Rhinolophus ferrumequinum: one gene and its partner. The protein of the gene in region 1 interacts with the protein of each later gene in a biochemical or structural test. Links are inferred from orthologs where the notes say so. Each region holds a gene or a part of one and is shown on either strand. Other genes may lie near its edges.

What was found.
Region 2: the proteins of CAV1 (region 1) and PTGS2 form a complex in vitro, tested with the Homo sapiens proteins (2 studies listed by BioGRID). The link is inferred for Rhinolophus ferrumequinum from reciprocal best matches to the Homo sapiens genes CAV1 and PTGS2.

The regions. Positions count from the first base shown.
Region 1 is NC_046309.1:26,399,568-26,403,316, reverse strand, and holds the start of CAV1 (caveolin-1), read left to right. Parts: upstream 1-1,558; 5' UTR 1,559-1,833; coding exon 1,834-1,863; intron 1,864-2,429; exon of another isoform or gene 2,430-2,562; intron 2,563-3,256; coding exon 3,257-3,421; intron 3,422-3,749. UniProt on the Homo sapiens protein: May act as a scaffolding protein within caveolar membranes. Forms a stable heterooligomeric complex with CAV2 that targets to lipid rafts and drives caveolae formation. Mediates the recruitment of CAVIN proteins (CAVIN1/2/3/4) to the caveolae.
Region 2 is NC_046305.1:17,297,407-17,301,155, forward strand, and holds the start of PTGS2 (prostaglandin G/H synthase 2), read right to left. Parts: upstream 2,813-3,749; 5' UTR 2,709-2,812; coding exon 2,654-2,708; intron 1,840-2,653; coding exon 1,723-1,839; intron 1,596-1,722; coding exon 1,452-1,595; intron 934-1,451; coding exon 790-933; intron 485-789; coding exon 303-484; intron 1-302. UniProt on the Homo sapiens protein: Dual cyclooxygenase and peroxidase in the biosynthesis pathway of prostanoids, a class of C20 oxylipins mainly derived from arachidonate ((5Z,8Z,11Z,14Z)-eicosatetraenoate, AA, C20:4(n-6)), with a particular role in the inflammatory response.

The sequences.
Region 1 (3,749 bases):
TTGCTGGAATGCAGGACATGCTTTCTCCCTGTTCCTGTTGACTTTTTTCACAGTCAAGATTACTCATCGCAGCTGAAGACTGAATAACAATAGATGGGAAACGGTTTCCACATTTTTCCATAGAACATAACCCCAACTGCTTTGCAGCCAGCATTTATGAAGGAAGACTTAGATGAACAGCAATGTTCTAGCAATCATTAGAAGTGGACTGGGCACTACACAACACATGGACCCTGACACCACCCTTTTCTAGCATATCATGTTTGTTAACACACAATTTGTTCAAAGAATTTAGAAATACAATTTAGCAGAAATAAAATGAAGAAAGACCAAATTTGGAAAATCTTTGGTATTCTCATGATGATTAGCCAGCATAATTAAATTCATGCCAACATTTGTGACCTGCTTCCAGCTACGTAGATGAAACTGATTCTTTTCTTAAAATTTATTGCCTTTTTGCTATAAATAAGAGGCTGTCTTTTGTAGTTCTTATATGTTCATGTCCTCTCTATAACTAGATAATTAACTCTAAGGGTTCCATCCTCTTTCTCCTTTTCCTCCTCCTTTAGTGCCCTCCCACATTCCCTTTTCTAGGCTGCCAGTATTTTAAATGTAACATGTGTCCCTTTAGGTATATTCCCAGGTTTTTTATTTCAAGTCATAATTTGACTTTTTATTGTATATGGAAACTTAAGTAAAAAAAATCCTTTCCACTTTTGGATAATGAATTTCCTGATATACTATAATCCCAAAGTAAAAGTGACTGATTGTTGTGTAATTCATCTTGTGCTACTTTATAATAAGGTAAAGAAAGAAGCCCCCAATTCAGGAATAGATAAAATATTTTAATTACTAACAATTTTTAGAATTCTAATCAATTAGTAGAAAAGTGAACTCTCCCTCAGCTCACAACCAAGCATATTTTTTTTAAAAAAATCACCTCTAGTAAACCTGAAGCTCCAATGAAATATTCCTACAATTGTAAATATTTTACCTGTTTTGTAACGATGGCCTGACCTGTTGGCATGAATATCCTTTGTTCCAGAAAAGATCAGTAATAAAATTATAGAAAAGTTTAATATTTTTATTTCTTATTTCAAATCGTTTGGGAGACGTTTCAGAAGGCGTTGGGAAACTTTCGATTCTGCATGCTTGCTTCCTCCAAGTTTCCATCCACAACGACTAAATGTAAAGCAGTGTCCCCGAAAACACACCCCACATCGCACCCACACAGATTCCTTCCTAGTGTTTCGATGTGAAATGCACCTAAAGGTTCCGCGCCATTTTTCATCCCTTCCTCTGTGAAACGGGTGATAGTTGTGTCTGAGGCAGCGATGGAACAGACATGGCTTAGGGCGATAGGAAGACACGGCTGAGAACCGCGCAGGATTCTTGTGGAAGCTCGGGTGCCTATTCTGGGCTCTCTCCACTCTCCACCCCTGCTGGGATGATGCTCTGAGAAAAGACTCGCTCTCCCCAGGACTCCTCTCAGCGGTTCCTAACTAGGAAAATGTTGCCCTGGGTTTACAATACCCGCCCAAGCAGCCCAGCGACAGTGAAACGCTTTCTCACTGCTCTGTGGCCCCGGCGGGCGATTCTCGCCCTCTGCTGCCAGAACCTCTGGGATGTGCCCAGACCCGGCGCTGCGCACGTCCCAGCCAACCCCCAGCCGAACAAGCCCTTGGCCCGCGGCCAGGAGGCTCCCTCCCAGCCACCGCCCCCCGCCAGCGCCTTTTTTTTTTCCCCATACAATACAAGATCTTCCTTCCTCAGTTCCCTTAAATCACAGCCCAGGGAAATCTGCTCAGAGCCTTCATCCAGCTACGGGCCAGCATGTCTGGGGGCAAATACGTAGACTCCGAGGTAGGCTGGGGTGGTGCGCGCCGGGCCGGGCACGCCAGGAGTGCCTGCGTCTGCTATCTCCCACTCCAAATACCCCGGCTGCTTTCCTCGCCCCAGCCCTCTCTCCACTTCGGGGCACTCCTCTTGCGCTGGCACTGCTGAGGAATGGGCCTGGGCGGGGAGGTGAAGAGGAGGCAGGAATGTTCTGTTTTCCTCCTGGGAACGGGCTCGGGATGAGGGGTAAGGGGGAGCTAAGCTAGAGGGAAAAGGGGACTCGGGATCCTGAAGTCGGGTTTCCCTGACCCAGGATGCGTTTCTGGGTGGGGTCCCAGGTGCTGCCTTCCTGCAGAACCCCCACGGTCCGGCCCGTGCCTGCTGGGAGGCGGAGAGCTGCATCTGGGTGGGAGGTCATTCACCCGCAGTCCTGAGGACTGGCCCAGCGACTCCCCGCCAGGCGCCTGGACCGCCCGGCCCCGCGACGGCGTGCGCGGTGTTTGCACTTTCCAAAGCTCTTAGGCCACCTCAAGAATTCTTCCCGCAACTCTGCGCCTGGCAGGGGTGTTTGGAGAGGGACGCACTTCCCTTCCCCCAACTACCACCACCCCTTCCAACCTCCCTCCCCCCGGGAGTGGAGACCTCGTTTTCCCAGACGCAGCCGCCGTTTAGCCACCGGTCGGCAGCCTGGGAGTGACCTGAGGGTGGGTCGGGAGAGTAGTGCAGGTGAGATAATCGTTCCAGGGAAGTTTTGGGATCTGACACATGGCTACGCCCAGAGACGGGTATGCGGCTTGTAAGCACCACGGGGGTTGGAGGAGCTGTGGAAGGACAAAGAGGGCACAGGGAGGGTGGGTAATGAGGGCAGGTGCTAGGGAGACGCGGCAGGAAGCAACGAAATGGGGATACTCCATGGGTCAGGGAGTTCAAGTTGAATCTTAAGGATGAAGCTGGAAGGATTATGGAGAGAGGGAGAATGGGGTCCAAGGACCGGAAAATGGAGCAGGTGAAGCACTCGGAGTGAGGGAGAGGGGCTGGAGAGAAGTCAGAGGTGGGTCCCGTCCCCCCCCTCCCCGCTGCCGGGGTCTCTGCAGGGTACAGTGGGCTGGGCGTGCGCTAGGCGGGGGCCAGAGTGGACTGCGCGGCGGGATTTGCCCTGACCCCTGGCGGCGGGCGGGGGAGGCAGGCGCTCCCTGCCTGGTACGAAGGGGTGTGGTGTCCTCTCCCCGATCCTCTTAAAAAGCTGCGGCGCCAAGGAGCTGGCTGCGCGCGGAGCCACTGGTAGAAGTGGTTCGTTCGATTTTGAGCCTTGGGGCTTGTTCCGCCTCCCGGCTGACTTCTGATCTCTTGTTTTTCTTTTTGAACATTTCTTCCCACCGCCGGTGCCACTCTCCCTCTCCTGGCCGTCCGCCCTCTGCAGGGACATCTCTACACTGTTCCCATCCGGGAACAGGGCAACATCTACAAGCCCAACAACAAGACCATGGCAGACGAAATGAACGAAAAGCAAGTGTACGACGCGCACACCAAGGAGATCGACCTGGTCAACCGCGACCCCAAGCATCTCAACGACGACGTGGTCAAGGTAAGGTGAGGCGGCCAGCGAGGAAGGGATGTGCCCCGAGGGGACGCTGTCAGGGCTCAAACAGCTCTGCTTTGGCAAGCAGCCTGTGCTTGCTTCTCCACCTTTGACACACACACACACACACACACACACACACACACACACACACACACACCGTCTTCTGGGCTCCATGTGTGGGAGTTCCAGCGGTCGTCAGAAATAGCTCGTCTCCCCTCCCCCTCCTGCTGGTTAGTTCAGCTGGAATTTAGCGAACTTGAGTTTTGTAGGCTTTCATACAACTGCACTCTTCTCCTGGCAAATGAACCCCTGATCTCAGCAACAGACACAC
Region 2 (3,749 bases), on another chromosome or scaffold:
CCTTACAATATTTAAAGCAGCATAATCAGGGTACAAACATGTTTTCTGAAGATGCAACATTTCTGTAGTGCTAATATTTTGAACTAAAAATATGAGTCAAATTACAAATAATATCTGTATATATGTATGGGTATGTATTTTTCCTGAACCATTGAATTAAAATGAAAACGCCATTCAGGTTTTTACAAATAGGACATTGTTTAAAAAGAGGGTCAATTATTTGGTGTGGCAAATAAACATATGGTCTTTAACATCAGCACTTCACTCTGATTTGCTATCATTTTGCTTTAGTGCTGTCTTACCCCATGACCCAGTCCTTTGGTGAAAGCTGGTCCTCGCTTGTGATCTGTCTTGAAAAACTGATGGGTGAAGTGCTGGGCAAAGAACGCAAACATCAAATTTGTGCCCTGGGGATCAGGGATAAACTGTTTCCTTAGAAGAAATTTTTCCACAATCAATTTTGAATCAGGAAGCTCTTTCTTTCCTGAAAAACGAGAAAGCTAAGAATCCATCTCTATATTCAAGAAAGCAGACAGTGATCTATTATGAACTCAGTTTTAATGAAAAAAATGTGAAAACATTGAGACATTATACCAAAATGCCCATTCACTTTCATGGAACAGTTTACATAGATTCACACTTTCAAAAAAAAAGATCTCCATAGATATGCATAAAGCAAGGAAAAAACGATACTTTTATTAACGAACAAATGATAGTTTAGGGTCAAATTTTCTAAGTAGCAATCCAACCCCCATTGCAATACATCTCTAACTGCTTCCTCTCACTCACCTTTCACGCCCATGGGAGTGGGGCAGTCGTCAGCCACAGGAGGAAGAGCTCTGGTGTAATAGGAGATATTAGAAAAGGCTTCCCAGCTTTTATAGCCATACTGTGCATTGTAGGTTGGCGGGCTGTCAATCAAATGTGATCTGGCTGAAATTTTCAAGGGAAAGAAATTGTTTTATTTGTTCCCATTTGCAAAGCAAATCAATGTTCATTTTTATTGTAAAATGTACAAGGTAGCACCAGAGGTTGAATTGAATTCCAACAATGATACTCTATTTTAAAACAATTGCACTTTAAAGTCTAACTGCCATTTGTACTTAAAAAACAATGATTCTGGAAAGTACATCTTTAGTAAAGTATATATGTGGTACATAAGATATGATGGTCTAGCCATCTTGATTTTTCAACTAACCATCCAAGAAGCTTGGAAGAGGTATACAGATTGTAAGTAGAATTCTGACTGTGAGAAAGGACTTTGTAAACTGGATGAGACTTAAATGTCAGTATTTTTACCATTAAGCTAAAAATCACACTAAAAAGATATATTTAAAGTCATTTTGACAAGGTTGGAAATATGTTTTTAGATTAGGTTTAGCAATCTGGAGTATTATAAAGTACATTTTCCTTTGAGGAAGCTGAAAACCTTAGAAAGAGACTGTACTTACATGTCAACACATACTTCATAATTGCATTTCGCAGGAAGGGAATATTATTGACAATGTTCCAGATTCCCTTGAAGTGGGTAAGTATATAGTGCACTGTGTTAGGAGTGGGTTTCAGGAATAACTTTATTCTTGTCAGAAATTCAGCTGCAATAAGAGGAAAAAAAAAAAAGGAAGGAGAAATTAAGGGGGCCCATTATAAGACACAAATCTGTAAAATGGTAGCGGTACATATACCCCCCTTCCAAATGAGGGCACCCAAGGGCAAACTTACGTGTTGTACAGTTTTCACCATAGAATCCTGTCCGGGTACAGTCACACTTATACTGGTCAAATCCAACACTCATACATACACCTCGGTTTTGACATGGGTTGGAACAGCAAGGATTTCCTACAATAAAAGTAAAGACAGTAAATAAATCATTCTTCAGTGTCTTAATCTTGACTTAAATATTTGTTTTGCTTACTGTGGGTCAATTTTACGATAAGAAATGCAAGAAATGTACAGGTAGTCACGGGAAAACAATTTTTTTAAACCTGTCTCACAGAATGGTTATACGGTAGAAATACCAACTTTCTATTCTAAATAAGGCTAACGGAATATTCATCCTGAGAAATCATGTTGCTAAGCTATTTCTTAGTAACTTTTTTGATGTCCAAATTAGCATTTTTAAGAACCTCAAAGAAGTAGAACTGTCAAAATTCAAATGGATAGATCTAGTACATTAATCAAAATTTAGGGAAAATGACAAAGTTTAAAACAGCTTACTTTTAAAATATCTTGCCTATCTTAAAAAAAGTAACCTGGGTTTTCCTGGGGCAGGAAAGCACTAATGAGGCAATTTAAAACAATTATTTCCACTCAACAACAGTAGGTACACACACACACACACACACACACACACACACACACACACACACACACAAACACATTTCACCATATATTGATCAGATCCTGTATTATTATAACGACAACCTGCAAATTAGTACCACTATTCCTATTTAGCAAATGAGAAAAGTGAGACCCAGACCAGTTAAGTAACTGGCTGGTGGCAAAGCTGGGATATCCCCCTCCAGTAGTCCAAGCTCTTTTCAAAGTCATAGGGCCTTCCGTATCCGGAGAGCATTCAGAGCGAAGGGGACCTCCGGGAGGTCAGAGCGAAAACTTGGCGGGCAGTGCCCTGTGAGCGGCGCCAAGTACCCACCTGCACAGCTGAGCGCCAGGGTGGCGTAGAGCAGCAGCAAGGCGCTGGAGAGCATCTCCGCCGCGGGCGAAGGCGTTGCGCTGTGTGAGCTTCGGGCCGCGGGGCTGGAGGAGGCGCTGGGCGGAGTTCCTGGGCGTACTCCTGACGCTCGCTGCAAGTCCTTTGACAACTGGAAGCTAACGGCGAGAACCTTCCTTTTATGCGTGAAAACTAAGCCCACGTGATGCCATGACTGTTTCTTTCCGCGGTTCCTTACCGCCCCTCCCGCAACTCCCGGCCCCCACTAGAATAATTGCGTAAGACCCGGATGGGGGAAGGATTTTTTTTTTTTTCCCCCAACTGAGAAAATCGGAAACACGGGAAGCTGCTCTCAGTTTCCCCGAGGTAGTGCAAAACGGATTGCCACCCTCCCCACTCCGATCTCCACGTTTTCCGCCCGCAGTTCCTCTGTTCCCGGAGCTCGGGTGTGCGCCTGATTCCTTTCCTTACTCCCCGTCTTTGCCCCAGCTCTTCCCAGAGCCGACTTTCTAGACAATCCCCCTGGGGGAGTGAGGGTGGCGAGGCACTACGCTGCGTCTACGGGAATCGGTGTCCAGAGGTTCCAGAGCGCACGGAGGGAATCCCCTGGAGCGCCGTCCCCGCCGCCTTGTCTGGGTCCCTCGTTCTTTGGAATGCCAAGGAAGGCAGTCAGGACAGACTGGAACAAGCAAAGCCAACAAACGCTGACATGTTTTACACGTGTCATGTATTTCAAACGTATCATGTTTGATTTTTCGTGACGACCTTTAACCTAGTTTATATGCAGCACATACGTATCTTCAATTTTTTTCAATGTTTATTTAGTTGAATGAAATATAGCTATAGTCAGTGTACATATCTGTAACTCCTATTTATAGATAACGTGAGTTTAGAAATAAGAAATACTGTTCTCCACACCACCACCCCGTCCTTGCTTATTAGAGAGGAAGGCGGTAAATTCCTCTCCCAGAACTGCTCCTAAGCGGTCATCCTGTTGTAAGAGACTGTTAGCATGTAAGAGACTGTTAGCATGAGAACTGCTATCTTCAGGTCAGGGTTAACAGCCCCTAGCCTGAAA